Linked DNA regions of Elephas maximus indicus. The protein of the gene in region 2 binds, or shares a complex with, the protein of the main gene of each other region. Links are inferred from orthologs where the notes say so. Each region holds a gene or a part of one and is shown on either strand. Other genes may lie near its edges.

What was found.
Region 1: CWC22 (region 2) and RBMX2 share a complex: the UniProt entries of both Homo sapiens proteins name them as parts of the minor spliceosome. The link is inferred for Elephas maximus indicus from reciprocal best matches to the Homo sapiens genes CWC22 and RBMX2.
Region 3: CWC22 (region 2) and PPIL2 share a complex: the UniProt entries of both Homo sapiens proteins name them as parts of the minor spliceosome. The link is inferred for Elephas maximus indicus from reciprocal best matches to the Homo sapiens genes CWC22 and PPIL2.
Region 4: CWC22 (region 2) and CWC15 share a complex: the UniProt entries of both Homo sapiens proteins name them as parts of the minor spliceosome. The link is inferred for Elephas maximus indicus from reciprocal best matches to the Homo sapiens genes CWC22 and CWC15.

What each region holds. Positions count from the first base shown.
Region 1 is NC_064846.1:26,103,617-26,111,594, forward strand, and holds the start of RBMX2 (RNA-binding motif protein, X-linked 2), read right to left. Parts: upstream 3,165-7,978; coding exon 3,100-3,164; intron 2,904-3,099; coding exon 2,788-2,903; intron 1,634-2,787; coding exon 1,582-1,633; intron 1-1,581. UniProt on the Homo sapiens protein: Involved in pre-mRNA splicing as component of the activated spliceosome. As a component of the minor spliceosome, involved in the splicing of U12-type introns in pre-mRNAs.
Region 2 is NC_064824.1:78,258,565-78,266,304, reverse strand, and holds the start of CWC22 (pre-mRNA-splicing factor CWC22 homolog), read left to right. Parts: upstream 1-4,362; 5' UTR 4,363-4,468; intron 4,469-7,740. UniProt on the Homo sapiens protein: Required for pre-mRNA splicing as component of the spliceosome. As a component of the minor spliceosome, involved in the splicing of U12-type introns in pre-mRNAs. Promotes exon-junction complex (EJC) assembly.
Region 3 is NC_064840.1:21,008,025-21,015,616, forward strand, and holds the start of PPIL2 (RING-type E3 ubiquitin-protein ligase PPIL2), read right to left. Parts: upstream 3,259-7,592; 5' UTR 3,148-3,258; coding exon 3,116-3,147; intron 320-3,115; coding exon 270-319; intron 1-269. Other genes in the region: uncharacterized protein LOC126065945, read right to left, coding at 4,737-4,911. UniProt on the Homo sapiens protein: Has a ubiquitin-protein ligase activity acting as an E3 ubiquitin protein ligase or as an ubiquitin-ubiquitin ligase promoting elongation of ubiquitin chains on substrates.
Region 4 is NC_064825.1:25,933,437-25,941,907, reverse strand, and holds the start of CWC15 (spliceosome-associated protein CWC15 homolog), read right to left. Parts: upstream 3,628-8,471; 5' UTR 3,522-3,627; intron 3,495-3,521; exon of another isoform or gene 3,274-3,494; intron 1,839-3,273; coding exon 1,708-1,838; intron 839-1,707; coding exon 726-838; intron 1-725. UniProt on the Homo sapiens protein: Involved in pre-mRNA splicing as component of the spliceosome. Component of the PRP19-CDC5L complex that forms an integral part of the spliceosome and is required for activating pre-mRNA splicing.

The DNA.
Region 1 (7,978 bases), on a different chromosome or scaffold from region 2:
TTGGGGCAACTGGATGGCTATTTGGAAATGGTAAAATTGGATCCATACTTCACATCATATACCAGAATAAGTTCTAAATGGATCAGAAATTTCAATGTAAAATAGGAAAGAACACAGGTGAATTCCTTTATAACCTGGATGGGTGAGGAGAAATGCTTTCTAACTATGATGCAAAATCCAGAAACAATAAAGGCTGATAAATGTAACCAAATAAAAATGAGGAGGGAAGACTGAAGCATGAGCAGAAAGGAGTAAGACGAGGGAGTTTTAGGTGGATGGAGCTGTTATTCATCCTGATTGTGGGAGCAGTTATACAAATCTAAACATGTACTAAAATTCACACAACTGTACATGCCTCAAAAAACCAATGTTACCATATAATTTAAACATATAAAGAAATGAATGCAGGAAATAAAAAATAATAAAAGGAAAATAATTTTGCAGAGCAAAACAAATCATAAGCAAAGTCAAGAGGCAAATGACAAACTAGGAAAACGTATTTATAATTTATCTAACAGATTAAACGGCCAGAAAGTAACTTTTTTTTTTTTTTCGCTATAAAGGGCATTATCACGACAGCTGGAGAAACTGGATAAAGTCTATAGATTAGATAATAATATTATGCAAAGTGTTGATTTCCTGAATTTGATCACTGTTCTGAGGTTAAACAAGGGAATGTCCTTACTTTTTGGGAAATATATATTGAAGAATTTAGGGATAAATGAGCACCATGTCTGCAAGTGACTTTCAAATGGTTCAGAATAAAATTGTATATACATATTGAGAGAAATAAGAAGCCTTGCTGGCACAGTGTTTAAGCACCTGGCTGCTAAATGAAAGATCGATGGTTCGAACCCACCAGCTGCTCTGTGGGAAAAAAGATGTGGCAGTCTGCTTCTGTAAAGATGACAGCCTTGGAAACCCTGGGGTAGCTCTACTCTGTCCTACAGGCTCGCTATGAGTCAGAATCGACTCAGTGGCGACGGATTTGGATAGAGAAATGATGACAAAACCAATGGGATAACATGGTAACATCTGGGGAATCTGGGTGGAGGGGATACAGGTAGACGTTCTTTATACTACCCTACAACTTTCCTATTTTAAGTCTGACATTATTTCAAAATAAAAGTTATAATAAGAAGTCAAAAAAAAAAGAATACAGAAGCTGGCTTGACGGGGCTCCTATCCAATAAAAACCAAACCCATTGCCTTCAAGTTGATTCCAACTCACTGCAACCCTATAGGACAGAGTAGAACTGCCCCAGAGGGTTTCCAAAGAGCGGCTGGTGTATGTGAACTGCCGACCTTTTAGTTAGCAGCCGAGCTCTTTATCACTGTGCCACCAGGGCTCCAACAGGGTTCCTAGTGACCCTCAAATTGGAACAATTTGAGCAACAAGAAAGAATAATGATGGTCACGTATTATAACATATCAAATTATTTAAAAATGAGTCCACGGCAACATAACACATGATAAAGCATTATAACAAAGAGTTAATATCCTTAATACGTGAAGGGCTCTTATAAAATCAATAGGAAAACACCAACAGAAAAAGAAGGCAGGAAATGAAAGGGGACTTACTGTGAGAACACACAGATGATGTCTCCTTCAGTCAGTTCATAAGGAAGCCCTCCTAGAAGAGGAAACCATATTTCAGCACATTTACCAAGTGTCTATTACATACCATGCACTGAGCCAGGCACTGGGGTGCAAAGGAAAGTAAGCCACAGGCCCTGCCCTCAAAGAACGTACAGTCTGATGCAAAGATGGAAGTACGTATAAGGTGCAGAAGTACAGAAAAAGAAGCGATTAAAGGTGTGTGTCACCCTTAACCAGGCTGATCAGATAGCTCAGTCCTCACACCCAAAATTCTATTCATGAAGCAGATAGTTTCCAGTACAAAACTGTTTCCACAAACTTATTTTGAATTCATCTGCTCTTTACCCACAATTTTATAGCTAAGATCCAAAATCAGCTTAAATATGTTCATATTAACCCCACCCACACAAACACTAAGGATTATAAAGATAACTGTTAGGCATTTCATAGGAAATAAATCCCGCCCCCCATGTTTCCTTCCTCATCTGTAAAATGGAGATACTAGTACTTATCTCACAGGATTGTTACACAAATTAAACAGTGTATATGAAGTGCTTAGCACAATTAATAGTTACAACATAAAGTGAATCTAGGGATGGTGATATGGCCATGGACAGAAGGTAGGAGCTAATTAAACAAACAAAAAAAATCAAACCCAGTGCCGTCGAGTCGATTCCGACTCATAGCGACCCGATAGGACAGAGTAGAACTATCCCGTAGAGTTTCCAAGGAGCGCCTGGCGGATTCGAACTGCCGACGCTTTGGTTATCAGCTACACCAACAGGGTTTCTTCAGGAGCTAATTAGATAAGAAAAATGAATTTTGAAAGGTGATAGTTTGGGGTGGGAGGGCGGTTGGCTGCTTCCACTTGCTAGTTATGTGACCTTACGGAAGCCGGTTAATTTCTCTGAGCCTCAGTTTCCTCAGCTGTATAACGGGAATGAGGCGGGGGTACAGAAATGATCTCTGAGAAGCCCGTGAAAGGCTCTCAGGAAAGTGAATGGCACACAATAACAGGAACGCTCACGAGCATTGATTTGGCAGGGAAAGCAAACTAGAAATGAGGGCGAAAAAAGATATAAAATCGGATTAACAGCAGACAGCAGGTCAGTAAGAGCGGATGATGAAATGTGGGCAGGGGCGAAGAGCTAGAATGCTGAAATGTCAGGAAGCAGCCAGAAGACTCACCCAAGAAGACCCAGGCGCTGTCCTTGTACTCGGAGTGCCAGGAAACCTTATCGGCCACCCCAAGCTGGACCTCCCGCTCATTCAGCTCGTTGATCAGCTTCACCTTAGTCAAAGGGCTGCAGAGAGGGTGGAAGAGAGACAAGTAAGTGAGGTCCGGGCTGAGCTAAGGGAGAGCAAAACTAGGGGGACTGGACTCTCTAGCCTCCGCGCCTCTCTCACCCCTCCGCCCCGCAGACGCTCTACCATCCCAGACCCCGTGGTCCACCTCCCGGCGGGCAGCTCCCGCTTCCTCAGAAGAAAGTCGGGCCTTACTTCATCTTCGTGGGTCCCCGCTTTGCACCGAAACCTAGTCTTCCGGGTGAGGCTGCGCGGCACATGCGCAGCCCGGGCGCTTCGCGCTCATTGGAGGCGGCGGAGCATGCGCCGGAAAAGCTCGACCGCGCCAGGGGCGTGGCGCCTGCGCACGACTGTGAAAGCGATTTTTCTAGCTCCGTGTGCTTCGTTTTCCCGGAAGGAGTTTTTCTCTAGTCTCCTGCGCCATCTGTCTGTGAAATGGGGCAAGAGTGCTAGGCTGGCTTGTCACAGAATCCCACACTGATTGGGTTAGCTATAAAAATTTACTGAATGAAGAATGAAAAAGGTGCCCCATGTGGCGACATTTGTCCAGCCCTCGCTCCCAGTCCAAGCCCCCACTCGGGCCTTCATTCCCAGACCATCTCTCACAAACACACATCCTAGTATTCTTGTTCAGCAGTATGGCAGAAAAGTAAAAAAAAATATGCCAATGCATAGGCAATGGACCACTGTGCCTCCACAGGCTGAATTGAATCTGTTTGTGTGAGAGCTGCTACATTTACCCTTCTCATAGTCTCGCCTATTTGAGTGGGAGGCAGAAATTAATGTTGTTAAAGTAAGAGCTAACAATTGAGCAGATAATGCGCTAAACAATGCCAGATCATGTGCTGAGCAATTTACGTGTCTCTCCTTTACAACAACCCCATGGAGTAGATAATACGATCATCCCCATTTTATAGAGAAAGAAACTGAAGTTCAAAGGAATTAATTAGCTTGAAAGGTACTCTGCCTCTACCCACCAGGTGAGGTTTATTTCATCAGTGCTTACTGAGCATCTATATTTGTCCTGTACAGCTAGAATCTGTAGAAAGGAGTTTAAGGCTGGTCCTCTCCCCTCAAGGAATTAATAATATAATTGAGGAGACAAGATATATTTGCCTAATAGATGTCACTCCAGAAGTATCCAGGAACCAGTAGACAACATGGTGGCATATGATGTGTGATTTTAGTCATAACACTATTTGAACCCATTTGCATCTTTCCACATCAAAATCTGGTCTTGGACCATGATGTTTTAAAAGTGAAAGTCCAGAGCAATGTAGTTCTCTGTGTAGGCCTAGCTCAGAGTCAGATATTAGGCCCTTTATAAAAGTATTTTGATGATGATGACAACTGTATTCTCAAGTGGCTCACCATGTACCTATGTCCTGCCAAGTAGCAGAACAGTGGCTGCCCATCCATGACAGCATCTCCTCATACATCCGGTGTCTGTGTCCCCTCCCTCATCCCAACCCAGCTATTCATTAACTTTGTAGAATTCTCTTGGCAATAAAAACTAAACAGTGACAGATTGCATACGGGTTTATCTACCTCTAGGAATCTCAGGTTGCTTAGTTGTAGGGTTGAAGTAGCCACTGCAAAGTGGTAAACTAGCATGTAGCATTATCTGGTTGACTTCTTCAAGTGACTATGAAATGAGAGAGTTGGGGCTACACCTGTCCCAGTCATCAGCATTCAGAAGGAAACTAGAACAGAAAAGGTGACTAAATCAACCAAAGGGAAGGGTGATATTGGTTGAGGAGAACATAAGAAGACAGTTGCTATCCAGCTGGTGGGTTCAGCAGAAGTATTCTGAAGCTGGGGGAGCTGACAATCATCCCAGTTTGCTTGGGACTGAGGGATTTCCCAGGACACAGGACTTTCAGTGCTAAAATTGGAAAGTCCAGAGTAAACTGGAATGGTTGGTCACCTTAGGAGAACCTGAAGTAAATAAAGAAGCAAGAAAGGCAGATTCTCCATGGATGTGCTTGCCATTGGTAGAACTGGTAGGTAAGATAATGCCTTGTGATTTCTGTAAGTGTGAGTTGAAAGGCAATGGGGGTCCAGAAGACCCCCTGAACTTAATGCCTGAGAAGACGACCAGGGTTTGCCATCCAAGGTGGTTATCAGTGATCTCCGCCAACATTTATTTAAGACCCACTGTATGCAGAACTCAGCTCTAGTTTCTTGGGCAATGCTAAGGAAGCTGAAGTAGTCCCCACATTAAAAGAAAGACTGAACTATTTGTCTAGCCAAAGTCAGCTCCCTACTTCTCACCACCAAACCACACCCCAAAACAGCTTTCCCTATTTTGGGCAATGCTATCACCATTTTCCTGGTTGCCCAGGGTGAAAAAATGGTTCTCATATTTCAGTCTTCCCATTTGTTATGGATTAAATTGTGTCCCCCCACCAAAAAAAAATGTGTTGGAATCTTTACCCCTATACCTGCAATGTAATCCTATTTGGAAATAGGGGTTTTTGTTATGTTAATTAGGTCATGCCGAGTAGAACCAAAAACCAAAACCATTGCCCTGGAGTCAATTTGGACTCATAGCGACCCTATAGGACAGAGTAGAACTGCCTCAGAGGGTTTTCAAGGAGCAGCTGGTGGATTCAAACTGCGACCTCTTGGTTAGCAGCCGAGCGCTTAACCACTACACACCTGGGCTCCTACCTGAGCAGGGGGAGTTCTAAATTGAACCCGATCTAAATTTAATCATTGAGTTCAAAAAAAAAGCAGATAGACAAAGAGGCATGCACACATGGGGGAAGACAGATGCCATGTGAGGATCACCAAGGAACCAAGGAACGCCTGGGGCTACTGGAAGGGAAGAAATCAACACAGCTGAGACCCTGATTTGGACTTTTAGCCTCTAGAACTGTGAGAAAATAAATTTCTGTTCTTTAAAGCCACCCTTTTGTGGTATTTCTGTTACAGCGGCACTAGGTAAGAACCTTGCCCCGCCAAGTCCTAATAATTGTACCACTGCAGTGTCTGTAACACATACATCTTCAGGCTACAATCCTACTCCCAGTGATTATCACATGCTTCTTAGCTCTCTCAGTACTCTTATAATTCATACCAGCCCCTAGTCTTGATTTCTCTCATCACTCCCTGACACAGGCCCTCGACTTCAGTCAGGCTCCACTTTGAGCCTTCCCCTCGAGGGCCCCTTTCATTACCCAACCTGGACACCTCTGCTGAAAGAGCCCCATATACCTGAGAGAGCCAGCCCCCTCTCTGTCTGATTGAAACCTGCCCAAGCTGCAGACCTGGATCAAGTTGTCCCTCCAGCAGGAACTTTTCCTGACCTTACCAGCCCACAGTGATGGCTCCCACTTCTGAACTCTGCTTCACTACAGAACTCTTTATGCACTCTTCCCAGAAAGAGCATGAGATCCTGGAAGGCAAAGGCTCTGCATTTATAACCTCTCAGCACCTCAAGCCTCAAGCACTTTCCTGCACACATAACTTATACCCAATACAATAATTGGTTAATAAAGTTGAAAAACACACACAACTATGGTTACCTTAGGAGTCCTTAGATGGTGCAAATGGTTAAACACTCAATTATTAACTGAAAGATTGGCAGTTGAGTCCACCCAGGGGCACCTTGGAAGAAAGGCCTGACAATCTACTTCTGAAAAATCAGCACCTGAAAACCCTATGGAGCACAGTTCTACTCTGACACACATGGGGTCGCCAGGAGTCAGAACTGATTCGATGGCAACTGGTTTCATGCAGTGGTTAAGCATTAAGGCTGCTAACCAAAAGGTCAGCAGTTCGAATCCACCAGGTGTCCCTTGGAAACCCTATGGGACAGCTCCACTTTGTCCTAGAGGGTTTCTATGAGTCAGAATCAACTCAATGGCAATGGATTTCCGGGTTTTTTTGTTTTTGAGGGAAACAGATGAGGGTAGTAGAAAAAGAGGTTTTTATTTTCCCTTTGGACCTTTCTATACTGTTAGAATTTTCTTACCTTTATCCAGATATTTTTTTAAATGCCACGTTATCTTGGCAGATGGATTATGACCTTTCTTTTTTTGCTTTTATCTTTTATTCATTCTTTCAACAAGTATTCATTGAGCAGCTATTATGCGCCAGACACTGTTCTAGGTGCTGGGGTTATAACAGTAAACAAGGCAAACAAAGTCCCTGCCCTCATGGAGCTTACATTCTTGTTGGAGAAGAATGACAATACACATATACACATACATCTAAAGTTGATAAATGCTATGAAGGAAAAATAAAGCAAGGCAAAGGGATAGAGAGTGACGGAGTGTTCTTATTTTATAAAACGTGTTTGGTCAAGGAAGGCATCCCTGATAAAGTGCCATTGAGAAAGACCTGCGAGAAGATGGGGAGTAAGCCAGGTGTGTATCTGGGAGAAAAGTGCTCCAGGTAGAGGGAACAGTAAGTGCACACGTCCTGGGAAAGAAGTGTTTGAAAAACAGCAATACCAGTGTGGCTGGAGAGAAGTAGGCAAGGGGAAGACTGATAGAAGATTTTTGTTTATTTAAAAAAATCTTATTTAGTGCCTAAATAAGATCCTAAGTACTTTACACACACTAACTCATTTATTCCTCACAACAACCCTATGAGGTAGATGCTATTATCCCCATTTTACAGATGAGAAAACTGAGGTACAGAGAGATTGAGTCACTTGCTCTAGGTCACACAGCTAGTAGATGGTAGAGTCAGGACTGGAATCCAGGCAGTATGGCTCCAAAGCCTGCACTCTTAACCACTATGCATAGGATGAGTGTGTGGAGACAGGGAGTAGATCATGTCAGGACATGTTGGGTAACAACTTTGGATTTTACTTGGCGTGAGGCGAGAAGTCACTGAAAGATTTTGACTTGACTTACATTTAAGCAGGATCACTTTGGCTGCTGTGTTGATAACAGACTGGGAGTGGTGGTGGTGGAGGCTAAGGTAGAAGCGGGAAGACCAGTTCAGAAGCTCTTGCAATAATTCAGGCAAGAGATGATGGTAGTTTGCCTCAGGGTGTAAAGAAGGCTGTGTTCCACGCTGATATTGTTTAAAACTAAAAATATTATATTTTTAAGTAAAA
Region 2 (7,740 bases):
TGTCCTGGCTGTGAATGGGTGGCTCCTTACGTTAGCCCTGTCACTACCACAGGTCAATGCTCCCTAAGATATTTATTCCCCTCAGGTACCAGTGTCCACATGTACCAGGCCTCTAGACGAGCCTCAGGCTGTAGATGAAAGAGGGCACTGGGTTTAATCCTAAGCAGGGCAGGTCCAGTAATAGGGCTCCTGACCCCTTGGGGAAGGTTCGAGTTCCTCCATGGTAATGAGGGTTTGAGTCCCTCTGTGGCCGCCTTTTTGAGGGTTTGAGTCCCTCTGTAGTAAATGGCTACACAAGTTCAACCAACACCCAACTTCACAGGATATCTGGGATGTAGTAAAGGCAGCAATCACAAACTTAACATGGTACCTTCCCCTTCTAAGATCCCTGGCCATGGTCATTCTGCTACTTGTATTTGGGCCTTGTTTGTTTAACCTTTCAGTAAAGTTTGTGTTTTCCAGGCTTCAGAAGTTCCACCTGCAGATGATACTGCAACGGGGATATCACCCCATCTTCCTTGAGCAGGTTCCAGCTAGAGCCCAGTTCTATGCCAGCACCCCTAGCCAGCAGGAAGAAGCTACAGAAGATGAGACCTTCGGCCCTAAACACCTTTTAAGATAGAGAGGCAACTGAAGCCTCTGCCGAGATTTCCGCTGCTCCACCATGGTTCCCCCCGTCACAGCCCGCCAAGCCACGGCTTCTAACTGTGGTTTGGCCTGACCACACCAACCTAACCGCAGTTTGAATTTGGTGCCAGAATCCAGCGCATGCGTGAACCAGGATTTTGGCCCATGCACAGGACCTGAAGAGCAGCATCCTCAACCTGTCCTTGGACCTGAGCATCACCAACATGATTCACCATTTGGACCTCCAAATGTGGACATGGGAGGACTAAGGGTGGAAAGTTCCGGGCAGCAAACCCAACCCCCAGATGCCACTGGAAATACAAAGCTCCTCAACTGCCCCCCCACCCCAGATGGGGAGTGCATGGTCTTTCGACTGCTAGGTCCCATATTGCTCCTTGTTTGTGCAAACAATAAACTGCCACTTTCCGTTTCCCTTGCAACTAGTGGTGTGGTGTCTGTCTTATTTCAATTGGCTAATAGGACAGGACAAGAACCCATATCACATAAATTCTGAGGGCCCCAAGCACAATTCATCATAAGATGGAAGTCTCACATTTGGGATGAAGCACAAAGAACACCAGAGTGCACAAGAGACCTACATGAGCAGGTAGCACAGACCTCCATGTCACCCGTTACACTGACATCCCTCCCTCAGTTCATATTGATAGCCATATGAGAGGGAGTGGAGCTAAAACTATCAGAGGAAAGAAGAAAAAAAGGCCAAGCTAAGTTTATGGATGGATTGGCTCACCACATGGTTGAAAGCTGAAAATAGACAGCAACCACATCACAGCCTCATTCAGGACAGCCTTGAAGACAGTGGAGAGGGACAATCTTCTGAGCAATACTGCAGTAGAAAATCAAAAACCAAACCCATTACAAAACCAAAGGCCAAACTCATTGCCACTGAGTCAATTCCAACTCACAGCGACCCTACAGGACAGAGTAAAACTGTCCCCACGGGCTTTCCAAGGAGCAGCTGGTAGATCTGAACTGCTGTCCTTTTGGTTAGCAGCCGTACGTCTTAACCACTGTGCCACCACTATGGTATAAGGACCTAGTCATTTAATCCCTTAGTAGTCCCTCCGTTTCAGAAACTTTGGCAGCATAGATGTTAAGAGCTACCACTGCTAACCAAACAGTTGGCAGTTCAAATCTACCAGGTGCTCACTGGAAACTCTATGGGGCAGTTCTATTCTGTCCTGTAGGGTCACTATGAGTAGGAATCAACTCAACAGCAATGAGTTCTTGGTAGTTCCCCTTTGGAGCTACCCCTGCCCAATCCTGCTTCTTCCCTTTTCTTTTAAAATTCCTAACTCTATCTCAGTATCTTCTTCTTGGAGGACCGAAATGACAAACCTACTTTTTTCTGGCTCCATTCAACTCTTGTAGGCTCAATCCTAACTTTCTTATTTCCACTGATAATTGCAGTGGTGTTCATTATATTTCTTTTAGATATGTTTACCAGATTCATCTCCTGTGCCACGTATTGGTACAAATGAAACATATTCCCTTAAAATACCTTAGAACACCAAAACACAACTTTAGCTATGGTCAACTCTCTTCATATGAATAATAATACCCGTTACTGTCAAGTCGATTCCAACTCACAGTGACCCTACAGGACAGAGCAGAAATGCCCCACAGGGTTTCCAAGGAGCACCTGGTGAATTCCAACTGCAGACCTTTTGGTTAGCAGCCATAGCTCTTAGCCACTAAGCCACCAGGGTTTCCATCGATAATAACAGATAGCAGTTATTACATACTAGGCACTTGACTACTAACCTAAAGGTTGGTGGTTCGAGCCCACGAAGCAGTTGCATGGAAGAAAGGCTTGGCAATCTGCTTCCATAAAAAGTTACAGTCATAATGATTACCCATTCCTGTTGAGTCAATTTCAATTCACAACACCCCTATAGGGCAGAAAACGGCCCCATCAGGTTTCCAAGGCTGTAAATCTTTATGGAAGCAGAAGACCAGAAAGCCCTATGGAGCAGTTCTACTCTGTAACACATGAGGTCTCCATGAGCCAGAATGGACTCCAGTGCAGCTTTTTTTTTCTCTTTTTTAAGGGGATGGGTATTGGTATTATTCCTACTTAACAGATCAGGACGCTGGGGCACAGAGTGTGAAGTAACTTGTCTAAGGTCACCCAGCTAGGAAGCCATAATTCAAATGTAAATAGTCTGGCTCCAGCTTCTTTATTATTAACCACTGTACTCTTCTTTCTCTTGAAAAGGGTTGGTAGCAGAAGCACCCTAAAAATGTAATAAATAAGTATCTGGAGAAACCAGGCCTGGTTTATATAAGGTTGGTGAATATGCTATAGTTGTTTTAAACCAAAACCCAAACCCATTGCCCTTGAGTGGATTCTGACTCATAGCAGCCCTATGGGACAGAGTAGAACTGCCCCCATAGGGTTTCGAAGGCTGTAAATCTTTACAGAAGGAGAGTGCCATATTTTTCTCCGTGAAACAGCGAGTGGGTACGAACAGCAGCCCAGTGCTTAACCACTGTGCCACCAGGGCTCCTCATAGTTGTTTTAGGGAAGGATATATCCCCAAACAGTTAGAAGTAGTTGAACTTTTTTGTTGCTATTGGAAAGTAAGGCATAATGAAATTAATTGATGCTGGATCCCTGAACTCTGTACAGACTACCATTCAAACTCTGCCAGATAATCTCCTTACCTCATGATATCTTGACCGTGAAAAACTGGTATTATGATCTTTAAGGTTGCATGTCAACTTGGCTGGGCCACGATTCTGTGGTTTGGCAGTTATGATGTAGTTTGGCAGTTGTATAATGATGTAATCACTTCCATGACAAGATCTGCTATGAGTAGCCAATCAACTGAAAGGGAGTTTCCTTGGGGTTGTGGCCTGCATCCAATATATTTGGACTTTTTGGCAAAGCTCCTTGGCTTCTGCTCTGCTCTGGATCCTGCATTCAGCTCGTCAGCATCTGACCTCCGGTCCCTGGGACTTGGGCCAGCAGCCTGACATCTGACCTGTGGATCTTGGGTTCATCAGCCCCTGCAGCTAAGTGAGTCAGGAGAAGCCTCCAGTTTGACACCTGACCCATGGACTTGGGACTTACCAGCCTCTACAACCCTGGGAGCCATTTCCTTGAAACCTGGATCTCTCTATCCTTCACTGGTTTTGCTTCTCTAGAGAACCCAGCCTAAGATAGAGACATCATTTTCTTTTCAGGATTAGCTTCTCTTCATTACTTCACACTATTTATGGTTCTGTATTTTCTCCTTCACTTAGGCTTGAAATCTTGGTACTTTACAGGCACTTTTTAACATTTGGTAAAGCTTAATACGCTCTCGTGAAACTACTGTAAAGAGTCTGAATAAGCTGTCTGCTCTTAAGATTTTCACGGAAAACTGACTTAAGTATTACAGTCATGCCAACTGCAGAAAATAGTTTTAGATGAAAGTAAACCTCGCTAAACCCTAACCCTTACCACGTTTCCGGTGCGTTGACTGGATGTACTCGGGGGCGCTTACCTACAATGACTACAATTCCCATCCTACACTGCGGCCTCCACAGCCTAAAACTACAATTACGCTAGCGTCGTTTCCGCTCGTACGGGCAGTGGGTGTTTGATTTAGTCGTTTGTATCAACTTCTTTTGTCGCCGTCTTAGGGGTAGCAAGTGGATGCACAGAGTTCTTTGAATCTAGTACTACGAAATAGTGTTAAAATAAATCAATACTTTTATAACATATCACAGCTAATTTTTAATGTATTTCACGCTCCGCCTTCATTGTGCCGCCAGAGCCCAGGAACGGGAAGTGACGTGTATCCGGTGTAATGGCGGCGCGGTGGAGCTGTAGGTAATTACCGCAAACTCCGTAGACTCCCTGTAGGCAGGGATCCGACGTAGGTGTGGCAGTTTTCCTGAACGGGTGGGAAGTGAAAGGGGCCCAGGAGTGGGTGCGCGCCCGTTGGCCCAGCCGTGGGCTGTAAACGGGTGCGCGTTGCTCCCTGCCCGCCGTGCGCTGGCCCGCGAGGTGGGGGTGTGAGCGCGGGTCGGGTCGAGGAGTCGGAGCGGGTTAGGAAGGGGCGGTGGTGTGCTCGCTCCCCGCCTGCATGGATGAACTTAGTTTCCGCCTGAGAGTTTTGGGCTGACTCCTATCTCTTTGTTAGTGAAATCCAGCAGTAGCGATGGTCTTTTTCTTCGCGTACAGTGCGGTTCGGGCGCGGGGTACTTAGAGCCTGAAGAGTTAAGTTGGGCTTCCCAGGCACCTTTCATAGTGTCCCCGTCCTAGAGTCATGGGGGTGGGATTAGGAAACTGTAGTTGATTGAAATAGTGGAAGTTGCACTCTTTCACTCATTTCCTTCTTAATATTCCTGTGACTACCTATTTTACTAGTTTCTTTTTTCTTCGTTTGCCTCGTAAATACTGATTGTTCTCAGTGTTTAGGCCGGGGGGGGCTCTTTCCTTATCATGTGTATTCTTTCACTGTCATCTTCATCTTTTGATCACTGGAACTACATCCAGTAGGGTGATCATAACTTCCAAATTTGAGTCTCAGGTGTCCACCTGCCTTCTGAGCTCCGGATCCAACAGTACATTCTTGCGTACAATGGTATTTTAGTAGTTTCATTAACTGCGGTAACTGCTTTATTTATTTTCACCTAACCCTCAAAGCAGTTCTTCAAGGTAAGTGGAAAAGGAAACATACTGAGAAAGGCTGTTCCAAAGGCAAGCATTGAAGTGATTGAAAGCGTGATAAGAATTTGCTTTGCATATTCGGGTGTCCACAGACTAGACATATGAGGTAGATACGCAAACAAGCTTGGTTTTCAGAAAACATGTTAACCTACCTTTTACTTTTCTGTGTTTAGATTTGTCTTGGTTTAGTATTGTCTCTGAGCTCAGGAATTAGCTTCAGTTAACAGAAAAGCAACTTTAGAATTGGTGTTTAATAGTGTGGGTTTTGACCATGGTAAAGTTACTGCACACTGTGTCTGTAGGAGGAGGTAACTCCCTTGCGTTGAGTTGATTAATGGACTAGTGAGCCAAAGGTTCCAGTCTTGGCCTGACATTTATTGGGTCTATCACCTGGGTGGGGTAAGTCACCTTATGTCTCTCATCTTAGCTTCTTTACCTGAAAAACTTAGATTATAATATCTACCTCACCGAGTTGTTTTGAAGATGAAGGAAAATAATGCACATTAGATATTAAGCACAGTGCCTGGTATATAGTGTTACCCATTGCTGTCGAGTGGATTCCGACTCATAGCAACCCTATAGCACAGGGTAGAACTGCCCCTTAGGGTTTCCAAGGCTGTAAATCTTTTCGGACTCATAGAGTCGGAATCGACTCGATGGCACTGGGTATTTTTTTAAATCTTTTCGGAAGGGCTCTTTCTCCCGAGGACTGGCTGGTGGATTTGAACCACCAAACTTTTGGTTAGCAGCTAAGCCTTTAACCACTATGCCACCAGGACTCTATTATATAGTGTTAGCCCTTATTATATTAAGGCTCTCTGGTGGCACAGTGGTCAAAATTATCTACTGTTAATGGGAGGATCAGTCTTTGGAAACCACCAGCCGGCTCCAGGGTAGAATGTGGCAGTCTGCTTTCATAGAGATTATAGCCTTGGAAACCCCATTGGGGTCACTGTGAGTCGGAATCGATCCGACGGCAGTGGAATTGGTTTTTATTATTTTATTATTGCTGTTGCTGCTACTACTACTGTTACATGTTGCCCTTCTACTATTAAGTGTACAGGCGCCTTTCGTAACTAATCTGGCTGGGGCTCTGGGACTTTGTGGAAGAAAGGCCTGGTGATCTACTCCCCCAAAATCTGGCATTGAAAACCCTGTAGAGCACAGTTCTACTGCGACACACACGGGGTCGCCACGAGTCGGAGTTGACTCAACAGCAACTGGTTACTGGTTTTACTGGGACTCTGCTTATACTTGCTTGCTTATCAGAGGCCGAGAGCCTTGATCTAATACCCTGGCTCAGTGGTTCTAAAAGTGGTCTCCTGAACCAGCAGCATCAGTACTTGTTAGCAATGCATATTTTGGGGCCCACCCCAGTCCTGTTGAATCAGAAACTGGAGGAATGGGAGCCTATCAGTCTGATTATTAATAAACCATCTATTTGATTCTCATGCCTGTTTGAGAACCACATCCCCTAGAGACCTGTTTTTTTTTTTTTTAATTGTGCTTTAGATGAAGATCTACAGAACAAATTAGTTTCTCATTAAACAACTAATACACATATTGTTCTGTGACACCAGTTGCCAACCCCGCAATGCGTCAACTCTGTCCCTTCTCGACCTTGAGTTTCCTGTTTACGTTCATCCAGCTTTCCTGTCCCCTCTTGCCTTCTCATCCTTGCTGCTGGCCTGGTGTGCCCATTTAACCCCTATACATGGTTGAGCTACGTGTATTTTTGTTTGTTTTATGGGCCTAAATCTTTGGCCAAAGGGTGACCCTTAGGAGTGACTTTAGTAGTGAGTTAAAAAGGTGGCTGAGGGCCATACTCTTGGGGCCTAGAGATCTATTTTTGTCTGTTGTTTGTGTTTTGTTTCATTTTCCAGAATCAGCTGCTACTCCCCTTCCTCACTTTGGATAGTTTAGCTCCAACCACTTCTGTAGTTAGACACTCCCTAGACTATAGGGTCCCTGTGAGTTGGAATCAACTCGACGACAAGGAGTTTGGTTTTTTTAGGCTACTTAGCTGTCTTTCCTAAACCAGCTTTCCTAACTGTCAGCTTTCCCAGTTGCTGAATTGTTAGTGGTTAACTCCTTTCTGATGATTGTACGCTGCCAAGTGACCTGTAATGGCTTGAACCTGAGGCCACCTGAAAGGACACAAGAGCATCAGGGTATATGCTCATGCCATAACTGCAACATTATTTTCTGTTTGTTGACCACATGGATTTAGAGCTAGTTTAAGGAAGAAGTGGTTGTTGGTGGTATAGCTGATCCCACTGATGACTTTTGAGGACTCCTTTGTTGCATTTCCCTACTTTTCATTTTAAATTTGAGAGTCCTATGGAAGGGTGATGAAACAGTAAGGCCTTTGGCGTATTAGTTTCAGCAAACTCCCAGACTTAACTAAATCTGTAGCCTAAATACTTTAT
Region 3 (7,592 bases), on a different chromosome or scaffold from region 2:
GCTGCCTGGGTAGTTTGGGATATTATTCTTTTTACTCCTTATTAATTTGATAGAGAAAAAAATGCCATTTTAACCTACATTAAAAAAAAAAATTACTACTGAGATTAAACATTTTCACACATGTTTAGCTATATGTCCTTTTCTGAACTGTGTCCTCAGCCTGTCTACTGTAATTTCTACATTCTTAATTTTTACAGGCTCACTGCACAGTGATGAGATCATTCCTTAATTCCTCCCCTCAGAGGGAACTGAAAGATTTCATGCCTTACCTGGCTTCTTGCCACCATAGAAGTGAGTATACTCAGCACAGGTAATGTACCTGAAGAAGAGAGGAAATGTTACTACCATCAGAGGACAGAGTCTTTGGAAGTAAGTCATGACTTCATCATTTGCTCATTCAGCAAATGCTTATTAAACACCCACGTGCCAGGCACAGAATGATGACAGAAGAGACATGAGGATGCACAAGCTAACACAAACAGTCCTGCTTGGCTCTGAAGGAAGTTAGATGAATGTAAAACAAGGCCTAGCGAGGAGAAGGAGCTGGCCATGTGAAGATCTAGGCAACAAGCTTTCCAAGCAGAGGGACTAGCAGGGATATCAAACATAAAAGCACTGAGGCAGGGAAAAGCTAGGTGTGTTCTAGAAGAGAGGGGATGCCATGGGAGACAGTGTCTGCGGGAAGGTGTGAAAGCAGATGAAAACTGAGACGTAGGTGGTAAAGCTGAAAGAAAGCTGTTAAAGGGTTTTGAGCAGGACCTTGGTATCACCTACTGTAAGTCTAACAAGGATCACTCTGGGTACTATGTGTAACGGACAAGCAAGACAGGAAGCAGAAAATCCACCCAGGAGGAGGCTACCAAGGTCCAAGAAGGAGATGGCATAAATTCCACCTGGGTGGAAGGGGGTGGGTGAGGTGAGCTGGAAAGACTGGCAACTGACTAGAGGTGAGAGTTGAGAGAAGTAGCATCCCATCCAGCTCCCAGGCTTTCTGATCTGAGTAAACTGATTGGACAGTGGTGAGGCAGTGAGATAGGGAGAAAGAGGTTCAGTGGCTAGAAATCGAGTTCAGTATTGGACATACTCCATTTGAGGTGTCTGTGAGGCCTCCAAGTGGAGATATGGAGTAGGCAGCTATTGCCAAAACTGGAAAGATCAGCTTGTAGAAGACTGGGTGAGAACATCCACGGAAAACATACATGAAGAAGAAACCTGGTGCTCGCTGACCTACAGAGGTCTGGGAGAGAAGGAGGAGTCTAGCAAAGGAGACAGAAAAAGAGGCCACAGAGAGAGACTGGAGGAACTCCTGAAACTACGGCCCCCGGACACTGTGTTAACCCAGAACTGAAACCATTCCTGAGACCCACTCTTCAGATAAAGATCAGACAGGACTACAAAACAAAAAATAATACACCAAGGAGTGTGCTTCTTAGTTCAATCAGATACACAAGACTAAATGGGCAGCTCCTGTCCGGAGGCAAGGTGAGACCGCAGGAAGGGACAGGAACTGTTTGAATGGACACAGGGAACCCGGGATGGAAAAGGGGAGTGTGCTGTCACATTGTGGGGATTGCAACTAATGTCGCAAAACAATATATGTATAAATTCTTGTGTGAAAAATTCATTTGATGCTTTGAAGGCCAGTGTAGCAGGGGCAGGGGTTTGGGGACCATGGTTTCAAGGGACATCAAAGTCAATTGGCATAATAAAATCTATTAAGAAAACGTTCTGCATCCCACTTTGAAGAGTGGCGTTTGGGGTCTTAAACGCTAGCAAGCGGCCATCTAAGATGCATCAATTGGTCTCAACCCACCTGGAGCAAAGGAGAATGAAGAACACCAAGGACACAAGGTAATTACGAGCCCAAGAGACAGAAAGGGCCACATGAGCCAGGGACTACATCATCCTGAGACCAGAAGAGCTAGATGGTGCCCGGCTACAACCGATGACTGCCCTGACAGGGAACACAACGGAGAACCCTTGAGGGAGCAGGCGAGCAGTGGGATCCAGACCCCAAATTCTCGTAAAAAGACCAGACTTAATGGTCTGACTGAGACTAAAAGGACCCTGGTGGTCATGGTGCCCAGACCTTCTGTTGGCCCAGGACAGGAACCATTCCCGAAGCCAACTCTTCAGACATGGTTTGGACTGGACAATGGGTTAGAAAGGGATGCTGGTGAGGAGTGAGCTTCTTGGATCAGGTGGACACTTGAGCCTATGTTGGTATCTCCTGCCTGGAGGGGAGATGAGAGGGTAGAGGGGGTTAGAAGCTGACAAAATGGACAGGAAAAGTGAGAGTAGAGGGACAGAGCGGGCTGTCTCATTAGGGGGAGAGTAATTGGGAGTAAGTAGCAAGGTGTATATAAGTTTTTCTGTGAGAGATTGACTTGATTTGTAAACTTTCACTTAAAGCACAATAAAATTCAAAAAAAAAAAAAAGGCTCGACGCACTCAACAACAGCTGCATACCAGTATTAATGAGCTAAAAGATACATCAGGAACACCTGTCGCACTCATAATGCTAATAAACAAATGCCTTTACATAACCAAACAAAAAAAAATTCATTTGAGCTATAAACTTTCACCTAAAGCACACTAAAGAACGAAAAAGAGGCCACAGAAGAGAAGGAAAACAAAGAGCACCTGGTGTCCCACACACCAAAGAAGCAGCTTCAGAAGAAAGGAGTGGTCAACTGTGTCCTCTGATGCTGAGAAGTCCAACAAAATGAGGACTGAGAATTGACCACTAGCTTTGGCATCGTGGAAGTCACAGGGACCCTGACAAGTGCCGTTCTGGGGCAAAAACATGACTGTAGTGGTTTCAGGAGACGGCAGAAAACTAGTAGACACATACATTTCAAGTCTTGCGATGAAGAATCAAAAGAAACACGGTGGTAGCAGGAGAGGAACACGGGGACAAGGCAAGGCTGGTCTGTTTGGAACTGGGAGTCACTGCAGTGTGTGTGTGCGCGAACAGGCGTGAGGCAGCCAACCCCGTGAGCACGGAGAGTAGGGGCCAGAGGGACCACTTGCAGAAGCCCAGCGCCCCAAGGTGAGAGGAAGGCCCAGGAAAAAGCGGCATAGGGGTGCCGCTCCCGTTTGAGGTTCCACTTACATCTTGTCCTTCTGGTGCTGTCGCTTCCCCATGGCGGCGACAGACGGCAGCGGCGACTGGACGAGCGTGAGCGGGCACAAGAGACAGCGGACAGTAAGACCCCGATGCTTTAGCCGAGATCTATGACCAGTTCCGGGATCCGAGGTCCCGCCCCGGAAGCGAGCGCTTAGCATGCCGGGAAGTGTGGCCCCGGCGCGGAGCGCGCATGCCCAGTCCCTGAGCGTCCAGCTGAACTCACCCACTAGGGCGTTTGCGCACAGGGCGTTGAGATGCTTTCTACTCGAAGCCCTCTCTTTTGGGGGGCCTCTCTCCGGCTTGTCTCGCTTACCCGCCTAGCCTGGGCGCAGTCCTGCCCGGGCTCTCAGGCATTTTAAAAAGCCCATCTGGAGCCGCAAGGCCTACTCCTGTCCACACTGGCTGGCTAGCTGCTCACCGCCCGCCCATTCACCCACTCTCGTCGCTGCCTCCAGGCCCCTGTGACCCAGTGGCAGGTGGTCACCAAGCCTGGAGGCCCCAGGCCCTCACTGGTCTCTATTGACTCTTCCGCTGGACCCTTCCTTGCCCCAACCAGAACGTTTGTGTACCCCCATCTCATTTCTAGCCTCTGTTTATACTCAGGCACCGGGGGATCTTGCTTTAAAAATCACTTGTATCCCGTGACTACCAATGCTAAGCCTGTGCTCCAGACTCCTGACCTTTACTGGGTACCCACTGACCTCAAAGTTAAAATGCCTGGTCAAAGAAGAAGTCGCCATTCCCCACCCCCTCCCGCCACCGTCCCCCAATTCTGTTGAATATACCATCACCAACCCAGTCACTGGAAACCAGCTGTCCTTGCTTTTCTCATTTTACTGCTGGTTCCTCTAGGTTCCACTTTAACGACACCTCATAGAGACCTTCCTTGATGCCCCCATCCCAGGTGGCTGTCCCCAGACCTCTCCATTCCAGCTCCCATCAGGCTGCTTATCACAGTGTGTCAACTCGTAGTAATTCATCTGCGTGCTGGTTTACCCCCACCCCCCTCATAGACACACACTGCTTGGTTTATCTACAGTTCCAAGAAAGGTGTGGAGCACATGCAGGGGTTCAGCATCTGCTAATGTGCCTTCCTTGAAAGATATTTAGTGAGGACTCACGTTTCACATGCAGGTTTGGTGCTAAGGTTGGGAGTGAGGTGACAATTAGTCATACATCTTTGAAATTCCTTAGAAAGGTGCCAAGTTGTAAAGTGACACATCAGCTTCCTCCAGGGAGAAAACATGTTTCTAAATCTACGCACCAAGTAAGGTTTGTGTTTAGGGGCTAGGTGTAGGAAAAAGATGGTAGACATGCAGCTCAGTTGGGTCAAATGAGGCCCAACCAAGGGCACCACTCGTTCCTTGAACAAAGTGCATATGGCTGAGTTTTCACATTAGGGTACAAGCGATGAGTGCTGACCTGACCACCTACTGTATGCAGGCTCCGTCAAGGGACCTTGGGCTGGCACTACTACCCTGACCATCCCTTTGGGCTAGAGGGAGCACTAAACCACGCCGAGGGAGCCCAGCACCCACCCCAGCACAAGCACAGCACCTCCAAAGAATCTTTATTGATTCATCAGGCCATGTCTGTAGGGAAGTGGTTATGCGCTCCCGTGGTGGGGCACCGAGTCTGAGCTGCCAGGGTCGTTCTCTGAGTCATGGTCAGGTCTGCGTACCGGCTGGAACTTGAGTAGGACAGGTGGGGTGAAGATGGAAGCCTTCACGGGAGGGGATGGCATCTCCTCGGTGCTGGGGGAGCCACTACAGGTTGAGGTCCTGCACAGAGACATCCAAGAGATGCCCATGACGTGGGCCACCAGAACCCAGGACCATGTACCCTCAGCACCCTGCTGACATATTTCTACTTCCAGAAACCTCTCTTATGAATGTGTGTTCAATGCTGTTCATTGCAACAATCTCTTATGACTATAAAAACCTAGAAACAATCTAAATGTTCATCAATCAAAAAACCAGTTCCCATTGAGTCAACTCCAACTGATGGTAACCCCATGTGCGTCAGTAAAACTTGTCCCATAGGGTTTTCAGTGGCTGATTTTTCAAAGTAGATTGCCAGGCCTTTCTTCCCAGATGCCTGTGGGTGAACTTCAACCACCAACCTTTCAATTAGCAGCTAGCAGTTAACCGTTTATGCCACCCAGGGACTCTGACAATGCCCAAGAGTCCTTCACTTTTAAATTGTACTTTGTAGCAACACTGCAAAAATGTTCATTGTCACCCAGCAATCAGTCACCTTCCCCCTCCCAACCCCTCTTCTGATCTGATAGCCTATGAGTGCATAATCACATATAATCATATTTATAATTTTAATGGTGCATAATACTCCACAATTACGTGAATGTACTTTTGAGCAGCTTTGTTATTCACTTTTAACTGATGCTGCCATAAATACTTTTACACACAATGGTTTTTTCCCTTAATAATTTCCTTGGGGCCAGTTCCCAGGATTAAAAACACCAGATCAAAGAATGTGAGAACTTCCATGGCTCCTGATATGTTTTGACAGATTGCCTTTCAAAAGGCTCAAGCCTTTAATTTTGTGCTTCAGAAGACACCACCAAGAAAGTAAAAAAGACAACCTACAGAACAGGAAAAAATATTTCCAAATCATTTTTCTGAAAAGGGATATGTATCTGGAATATATAAAGAACTCTTACAATTCAACAATATGAAGACATACAACTCAATTAAAAACTAGGCAAAGGATCTGAACAGACATTCCTCCAGAGAAGATATACAAATGGCCAATAAGCACATGAAAAGATGATTCACATCCTTAGTCATCAAGGAATGTAAATCAAAACCACAAGGAGATACCACCTCACACCCAGCAGAATGGCTAGAATCAAAAAGACAGATAATAACCAGTGTTACCATGAGAACATAGAGAACTGGAACCTCACACACTGCTGGCAGAAATGTACAATTAGTACAGGCACGCTGGAACAGTCTGGCAGTTTCTCAAAAGACAAAACAGTTACCATATGACCCAGCAATTCTTCTCCTATGCAAACAAGGGCCACACAAAATCTTGTACATAAACATTCGTAGCAGCATGATTCATAATATCCCCAAAGTAGAAACCCAAAAGTCCATCAACTGATGGCCATTTATCTAACAGAATGTGGCATATTCATACCATACTATGGAATATTATTGGGCAATAAAAAGGACTGAAATACTGATTCATGCTACAACATGGAAGAAGCCTGAAAACATCATTCTGAGGTGAAAGAAGCCAGACACAAAGGACCACATATGTATGACTCCGTTTATACGAAATGTCCAGAATAGCTAAATCTATAGAGACAGAACATAGATTTGTGGTTCTAAGGCTGGGGGGATGGGGAGATGGGGGGTTGTCGGTGATGGCTAAGGGGTACCGGGTTTCTTTTTGGAGTGATGAAAATATTCCAAAATTGATTGTGGTGATGGTTACACTCCTTTGAAAATTAAACTTAAAGCCATTGAATTATACACTTTAAATAGGTGAATTGTATGGTATGTGAATTATATCTCGATAAAAACGTTTTTTACAAAAAGGACTATAGTGCCAAGCTACCGCCACTGATCTTTGTGACAGAGATCACAATAGAAGGTTCCAGACAGAGCAGGAGAAAAATGTAGAAAAAAATTCAAATTCACAAAAAAGACCAGACTTACTGGTCTGACAGAGACTGGGGGAATCCCTGAGACTATGGCCCCCAGACACCTTCTAACTCGTAAGTAAAGCCACTCCCGAAGTTCACCTTTCAGCCAAAGATTAGAGAGGCCGAAAAAACAAACAATAATACGAGTGAGGCATGTTCTTCTTAATCAAGTATAGGAGACCAAACGGGCAACACCTGCCCAAAAGCAAAGACGAGAAGGCAGCAAGGGGTAGGAAAACTGGACAATTGGAAATGGAGAACCCAGGGTGCAAAGGGAGAGAGTGCTAACACATTGCGGGGATTGCAACCAATGTCAGGACAACAGTTTGTGTAATAATTTTTGAATGAGAAGCTAATTCGCTCCGTAAACTTTCACCTAAAGCACGCACACACACAAAATTAAGTGATGTTGAAATGGCAAATGTTTTCTTATATATAATTTTGCCACAATAAAAAAGTCAAGTGAAAAAAAAAAATGGACTAAGCCAGCGTATAATATTTTCACAGCAAAAATGAGAGTCTCTTTCTAAAGCTTTGATAGCACTGGATTTTATCATTGTCTCTTTACTCTGGACTTTTTGATAGGTATATAACATACACCCTAGCAATCTTAATATGTACGTTTTCTGTAACTGAGGGAGTCAAAAACACCTTTAAAAGGTTGGCTTATCCTTCTGGTGTCCTCTTGGGTAAGTTTTCTGTTATGGATTGAATTGTGTTCCCCAAAACTGTGCTGGATACCTATACTTGTGGAAGTATCTCATGTGAGAATAGGACTTTCTTCATTAT
Region 4 (8,471 bases), on a different chromosome or scaffold from region 2:
CCTGGCAAATAAGCCTGTGGTCAATATTTGCTGAATGAATTAACGAATATATTGATTTTAATATGGGAACTGTGGCTTCACTCAGGAAATGTAAGAAATAGTTTACATATGCTGAAAACGTAAAAAAGATATTATAACTGATGCTTCTAGATGCCCTCCAATTAGTGGTGATGTTTTTGGGTGCTGTCGAGTTAATTTTGACTCACAGTGATCCCACGTGCAGAGATGAACGGCCCCATAGGGTTTTCTAAGCTGTAATCTTTACAGGGAGTAGACTGCCAGGTCTTTTCTCCCGTGGAGCCCCGGAGTGGGTTTGAACTGCCAGCCTTTCAGTTAGCAGCCAAGCGCTTAACTACTGTGCCACAAGGGCTCCTTATCCTCCAACAGCCACTGACAAAAATGGGGCAATCTTGAAAGACAGAAACCATGAGGCCTTAAAAAGCCTCATCGCTGTAAATAGTAAAAATCCCTTGATCTGAACTGAAACGATGGCTAAATGTCCCCAATCACCTCTGTCCTTTCTAACACAGAAGCATAAAAAGGTGGAACTGGAATGAACCTTGGCTATCACCTCTAATCTTATCAGTTCATTTGAGGAAGCATTAGAGCTCACACCAGTAGTTAAAAACACACAAACATATTAATCTTTTCCACTTACTACATGAAAAAAAAACTATCTCCAATGTGTCAGTTTATGAGACAAATGTTTTGTATAGTGTTGGTACCTCGGGTTGGACGATCTCTATTTTTTTCTCTTGCAGCAGCTCTCTCTCTCTCTTCCAACTCTCTTCTGAAGTCACGGTTGCGAACTTCTTCTGGGGCATCCTGAGTGGTTTGTCTAAAGTAGAAACAAACCAGGGCAAATTGTTACTAAAAAATGCTTAACTGCAGAAATGAAAGACAATCTACAAAAGCTTCATTTGTCTCCAGTCCCTCAAGTATAAAAAAAAATTGACTAGAAAAGATGATTAATGTAATCTGAAGGAGGTTACTAGTAGGCACCTTTGAGATGTTTCCAATATTTCAAAATGCTGAGTAACTCACATATTTTCGAATAATAAGGTTGCAGATTAAAATATCTTTAAATTTTTATTAGTATTACATCAACTGAGGGCTTGTTATAGGAACACACCTCTCCCAGTCACCTGTTACCCTTCATTTTTTAAATAGTTTTAATGAATACAGTAATGGTTTTAACCTCATATTGCCCAGCGCTGATGGTACATGGTCCCTCTGAGGTAATGCATCAGTTAGTGCTACATCTATGTATAGAAATTCCAAGTTGATAAGAATTTGCTTAATGAAATGTCTCGTAGCAGTTTACAACTGTAGAGCATAATTTAGCATTAAACATACTCTGTTGTTGCTGATGGGTGCCATCAAGGTGATTTTCAACGCACAGCGACCCCAGATGACGGAGTAGAACTGCCTCATTGGGCTTTCTAGGCTGTAATCTTTATGGAAATAGATTGCCAGGACTTTCTCCCTCAGAGCCACTGGGTGGATTTGAACCATCAACCTTTAGGTTAATAGCCAAGTGCTGAACCAGGGCACTATCAGGGTATCTTAAATATACTCTATGCCTTCTGTTTCTAAAAAATAGATAACCTAAAATGATATAACACAAATATGCTACTATCCTATCACATGCCATTTAGTAGATATGGTCTTGTTTTGTGAACAAGAAAAACTTAAAGAATTTTTTACCTATATTTTATCTTCGTATGAGAGGGTAGGTCTCTGCTTGAATACTGCTTTGAGAGCTGGCTCAAATCACCTTCTCCTTTTCCTCTTCCACCTCTTGCAGGTTCAAAAGTTGGCCTGGCTGCTGTTGTCATCTTATACGATTTGAAGAAAGAGTATCAAGTTATTTGCAATATGATAAACTGTCACTTTATGAAGCATTAGTCAATATCCATCCTTGTGAAATAATTTCCCACACTCATTCCCCAGTGAGTTATTTACTTGAACAGTCTCACAAACATTCTTAACAAATCATGAGGCGCAGAGTGTACAAAGTATATAGCTACTCAGGAGGCTCTTGCTAGTAAAAAAAAAAAAAAAAATTCTGCAATAAGGATCGGAGTTTGTGTTCCACCCTTTCTCATTCTGGCTGTGAGGCCTTGGGCAAGACACCTAGCTTAAATTTTTGCCATCTGTAAAACCAGGGTATTCCCCATAGGATTATTATGAAAATTGAGATGTGACATGTCAACCCGCTGCCATCGAATCAATTCTGACTCATAGTTAGGAAAGAGCAGAGCTGCCCCATAGGGTTTCCATGGAGCAGCTGGCGGATTCAAACTATCAAGACATTTTGGTTAGCAGCCATAGCTCTTAACCACTGTGCCACCAGGGCTCCTGACATGTCAAAGCACTTGTCCAACACAGACACTCCATGATTGAGTTTTAAAAACTCTTAATTCAATCTTACTCCACCAGTAGGGTTTGCATTTTATCTAGAACTCACACAACAGCAAATGGGCTAGCCATCTCAAAAACACAAAGGTACTTTTAAAAATCACTGTTACTAACTGTCCTGGAGAAAAGTTAAACTGTAGAAGTGTGCTAAATTTTAAGGACAGTTACAAGGACAAAATTATCCAACAATCTTTGGTTGATCCAAGTTTCTAGGACAACAACATCATAACATAAATCAGATCTTTTGTAAAATAACATTTAAGGGCTGTGGTAACCAAAAATCAGAGACCCATTCATTATGTTTCTTTCAGAATTTGCATTTCTAACAAATCCGCAGGCAACACTAATACTGCTGATTAGGGACCAATTCTGAGAACCACAAGCAGAGCAGTGGCTTTCAAAATTTATTAAACATAATCACCTGGGTCTCTTGTTAAAATATAGATTCTGATTTGGTATATCTGGGGGCGGAAACGCAAATTCTCATCAGGGTTCAACCCAAAACTAACCAGGTCAAAGCCCTGGTTACTTAGACTATAAACAGCCAAAAGAACACTGCCTAGCAGATGTTGCTAATAGCATTCCGATAGGGTCAGAAACCCATAATAGGAATCAACTCGACAGCAACGGATTTGGGTTTTTTAGGGTTTAGGGTCGGAAAAGCAAGCTGGAACTGGATGTTTTTTGTACAGTTTTTTGTTTTTCAAAAAAAAGGAAAGGCATGTACCCACAGGGGGAGAAAAAGGGTTTTCTGCCGCTGGGGGCGCCACCGCCCCCCCCATTGTTTATCATCACCCCGGCCTCCCGGGAGCCCGCCGACAAGCTGTCACCAGGAACTCGCTGATGCCTCACCTGCACCGGATTCGGCGGTAGGGGGGCCCAAGGCTTGCCTAAAGCCGTCTGCACAGCTGCCTTCGCGCCGAGCTTCCCTCGGCCGGCCCAGCAGCTCGCAAGCGCTCCACAGGCGCCTTGCTCCGCTAGCACCCTGCCGCTCCGGGACCTCTTCCGCCCGCGCGCTGTCGCGGCCTCCGACCCCAGTCGCCCTTTCCTGCCCCACCTCCAGAACGAAGAAGAATATCTGCCACCCTCCTGCCGCTTACTTTGGCCGACGTCCGATGCTGCAGCCTCCGGAGATCATACACACACCATTACGCCCCTTGCCTCCCAGAAACCTCTGCGTCCAGCGCCAAAGCCAAGACCCGGAAGCAAAATCCAAGCGCTTCAGCTGCCCTTCAGAGGCGGAGGCGCGGACCAATCCACAGAGGCCAAGGTGGAAGTCGGCGTGACGACAACAGGGGGCGGGACCGAAACGGTCCAGGGGGCGGGCGTTTGAAATCGGTGCCTTAGCGTAGACCCTAAAACATCATTTTATACCTTCAAGAGCCAATTAGTTAATGTCTCTTCCGTCTTTTCCATCCCCGACCCCCTCCCAGACTCCTTCATTCCGGTTCTGCGTGGACGGAAAGCTCAGGATAGCCGACATCACGTCCCCGACTAGCGGGAGGGAGCGTGGAACAGGATTACACCAAACTGTTTAAATCCAACGGTTCCTGCTTCCTTTCTCCTGAGCTAGACCCAACAAGCCTAGAGAGTTGGGCTACGGAAAAGCTAGTGTTTTCATTTAATTGGATATGAAGAAAGAACAAATATGTACGGGGGCAACCACGATCTTTATAAAGGTACCATTCCTGCAAAAATATTAGACTTCAAAGCGAAGGTTGTATTCGTATTGTTTGTTAAAATTTTTATTAAAAAAAAAAGTATGAATTCTAGTGGGAGGGAAGATGTAATGTTAGCGATTAATTCATTTATTCACCTGATATTGAGCGTTTAGAACGGTGGGCCCAACTGCCAGGAGCACGAGATGCAATTACTAATAAGATGGCTACTCAAGCGTTAGGTGAAGTTTTAATAAGACAACAAACAGAAAAAAATCACCCATCTCCCTCTCTCTTCCTACCGAAAAATAAAAGTAAAACAAAGGACTCTGAGAGCGGGGATCTTGTTTGCTTAGTTCATCTTGGTGTCTCATCACATAGTCCTTGGCGTATAGTAGGTGCTCCATAAATATTTGTTGAACAAATGAAAATGTAACCTCCCCAACTCAGTTTCTAATGTAAAGAGCTCACAAAATTGAATATTCAAAAGCTTTTCCCTTAAACTTTTTCTTTAAAACTTTTAAATGAAAAAAAAGTAGGAGAAAACTCCTTCCTCTGTTAAGTCCAAGATGGAAATTTTGATTTTTCTTAGTGAAGGTATTCCTCCCCCCTTACACATCTCAGTAAATGACACTACCCAGAATCCCAAAGCCTGTACTTAAGTTCCTTCCCCTGCACTCTTCACATCTAGTTTATCTGGAAGTCTTTCCAATCCCCTTTCAGAATACATACTAAATTGCTCCCTCACTTTTCATCCTACTGCACCACCCCAGCCCTAGCCACCACCCTGTCCAAGCCACCTGGATTGTAATTGCCTCCTAATAGATCTTCCTGCTTCTCCTTTTGTCCTCCAGTCAGCTTTATGTATACAGCAAGAGTGATCTTGTAAAATTATGAGTCAGATAGTATTACTTTTCTGCATAAAATTCGACTGCGCTTAGAATAAAAATCAAATTCCCTAGTGTGAACTGAGGCCCCACAGGTTCTGTCTCCTACCTATCTCCCTGACTTCATTTGAGTAAGTTATTCTTTTATACACTAACCTGTAGCCGAGTGGGCATTTCTGTTTCGCAAGACAAGGTTCTTCTGTATCAGAGTCTTTGCACTCGCTTTTCTCTGCTGCCTGTACCCAAGATAACTGCATAACCATCCTTCAGGTCTCAGCTCAAATGCCATCTCAGTGAAGTTTTCCCTAACACCCACCTGTTGCACCCTCACCCCTTTAACACGTAAATACCTTCATACCACCTTGTTTTATTTTTTCGTAGTACTGAATACCACCTGAACTTATTTTGTTCATTTGTTTATTGCCTTGTTTCCTGTCTGAAAGGCAGCACAGAACAGTTTTTAAGAGAAAGGGATCTACAGCCAGACTGGTTCAAAATTTCTGCTCTGCCTTTTTCAGCTTATACCCATTGCAAGTTAGTTTCCCTTTCTTTGCCCTCAGTTTCCTGATGTATAAAATGGAGATAATACTAGTCCCTCCCCCTTAATCTTACTATAAGGATTAGGTGAGTTACTACTTGTAAAGTGCTTAGAACTGTCTCAGCAAACAGTACTTGCTAAATAAATGTTAGCTAATATTATTATTAATATTATTTTTATTATTGTCTATTTCCTGTATTAGAACGTAAGTTCCAGGAAAGCAGGAACGTTGTCTCTCTTGTTCACTGGTGTATCATCTGCATATAGAACAGTGCCTGGCACATAATAGGTGCTGAGTAAGTATTTGTTGAATGAATGAATGAATGATGCACTCTGAAGTAGAGGAATGAAGTAGCAATGACAAGATGGTGACACAACTGTAGAAAATATCCATGGTTTTTATGTGTCAACTGCCTTTATCAGCCCTGAGCGAATCACCCTAATCCATTTAACTCCCAGCCCACCACCCAATCTTTTGACCACCTGCCATGATTAGGTGACCACCCTGGTAAGTCAGCACCTATCAACACCAACATACAATATAATCCGTCCACAAAATTAAAAGCTGTTGACTTAAATGATCTGAAAGTATTAATAAGAAAAAGAAACTAAAGAGTGTTTCTACTTAAATGGTTTGAAAGTAGTAGTAAGAAAAAGAAACTAAAATTTTTGACTTAAACAGTTTGACGGTATTAAGAAAAAGAAACTTAAAACTAAGTATATTTACAAAAAAATAAGTTCATGCTATCAGCTGAACTTTGCTGATAAAAAAATCACGCAACTGATTTTCCAAGAGTTCTTATTTTAAACCCCTTACCACAAGTGTCTAGTTGGGCTCTTAATTCTGCCTGCCAGCCCCCTTAAACATCCCTCTGTTTATTTTCCTACTCTTCAGTGATATGATTTCCCACATTGCCCTTGTTCCTCAAAACTCCTACACGTCTCCTCCAGCCCTTCTTCCCTTCTCACCCGTTTTCTTGGGAGCTAATTATCTTCTTACTTCCCTGGGAAAACAGAAACTCACAAACAAGGACTCCTCATCCTCCCCCACCCCAGCAGACCTACCAAGCTGCCTGCAGCTACGGGCCTGTTCTCACCTTTCCCTGTGTTACTAGAGATGAGGTGACCCAGATTCTCTGCCTTGTACTCTGGGTCCCAATCTTTCCAGCCTTCTTAGTGATTAGCATCCTATTACATCTTCTATCTCTCCTTCATAACGTATTAATCCATCCCTTTCATATTATTCCTGTCAGCTTCGAACATGGTGTAGTATATCCTAACCTTAAAAAATGTTCCGTTTTAGTATAACAAAGGTTGTATTTTAATTCAATGTGAAAAAACCCAAAACCAAACCCATTGCCGTGGACTCATAGTGACCCTATAGGACAGGGTAGAACTGCCCCATACGATTTCCAAGGAGCACCTGGTGGATTCGAACTGCTGACCTTTCGGTTAGTAGCCATAGCTCTTAACCACTATGCAACCAGGCTTTCCAATGTGAAAAGGATGTTTTATATAATAACCATAATTACAAAACTGACTCTTCTTTTTTTTTTTATTAACTTTTATTGAGCTTCAAGTGAACGTTTACAAATCAAGTCAGTCTGTCACATATAAGTTAATATACATCTTACTCCTTACTCCCACTTGCTCTCCCCCTAATGAGTCAGCCCTTCCAGTCTCTCCTTTTGTGAAAACTTTGGCAGCCTCCAACTCTCTCTATCCTCCCATCCCCCCTCTAGACAGGAGATGCCAACACAGTCTCAAGTGTCCACCTGATATAATTAGCTCACTCTTCATCAGCATCTCTCTCCCACCCACTGTCCAGTCCCTTTCATGTCTGATGAATTGTCTTTGGGGATGGTTCCCGTCCTGTGCCAACAGAAGGGTTGGGGACCATGACCGCCGGGATTCCTCTAGTCACATCCAGACCGTTAAGTATGGTCTTTTTATGAGAATTTGGGGTCTGCATCCCACTTATATCCTGCTCCCTCAGGGGTTCTCTATTGTGCTCCCTGTCAGGGCAGTCATCAATTGTGGCCGGGCACCAACTAGTTCTTCTGTTCTCAGGATAATGTAGGTCTCTGGTTCATGTGGCCCTCTCTGAAAACTGACTCTTCTTATGTCAGGAAATAACAAAGGGATTGCAGCCTCAAAGCTGACACAAAAACAAAGCCCAGATGAATTAAACACCTAAAAGGAAAAAAGAAACCATAAAAACCTAAGAAGAAAATTTAGGAGACTCTTTATACAGCCTAGCATGTGAAGAAACCTTTTGATCAAGGCAGAACACCTAGAAACTATAAAAGAAATAATTTAAAAAATTCGTCTATATAAAAATTAGTTTTATGGTAGAAGATGCCAATAGCAGAATCAATAGATAAATGGTAGATTGGGGGGAAATTTTGTAATGCCTATAACATGTAAATGGTTACTACTGTTACTACTGATAATAGTAATAAGTAAAAAAAATACAAACAACCCAACAGAAAAAAAAATGGGCAAAGGATATCAACGGGCCATTCAGAAAAAAGCAATTCCAAATAGACAAACATGAAAGACACTTGATATTGGGGAAATGAAAGTATGTTAACAAGGAATTATCACTTTACAGCATCGGATTGGCAACACTTAAAAAAATCAATAATACAACTGGGTATATCCAGTAATACAACTAGATAATACAATAATGCCATGGGGAGAAAAGGGCATCCAGCCAGACAGAGGGAATGCACCCTATTTCCCTCACAATAAAAGCCAAAGTTCTCACAATGGCCCACAACGCTGTCCGTAATCTAGCCTCTCCTCTGCCTCTTTGACCTCATCACTTGTTCATGCCTCTTCAGGCTTCATGTTTTCCCTGGTTTTGCTTGAACAAGCACAGCGGCTCTTGACTTAGGCCCCCTTGCACTAGCTGTTTCCTCCACCAAGAGCACTCCTGCCCATCTCATTGAAGGCTTTGTTCCA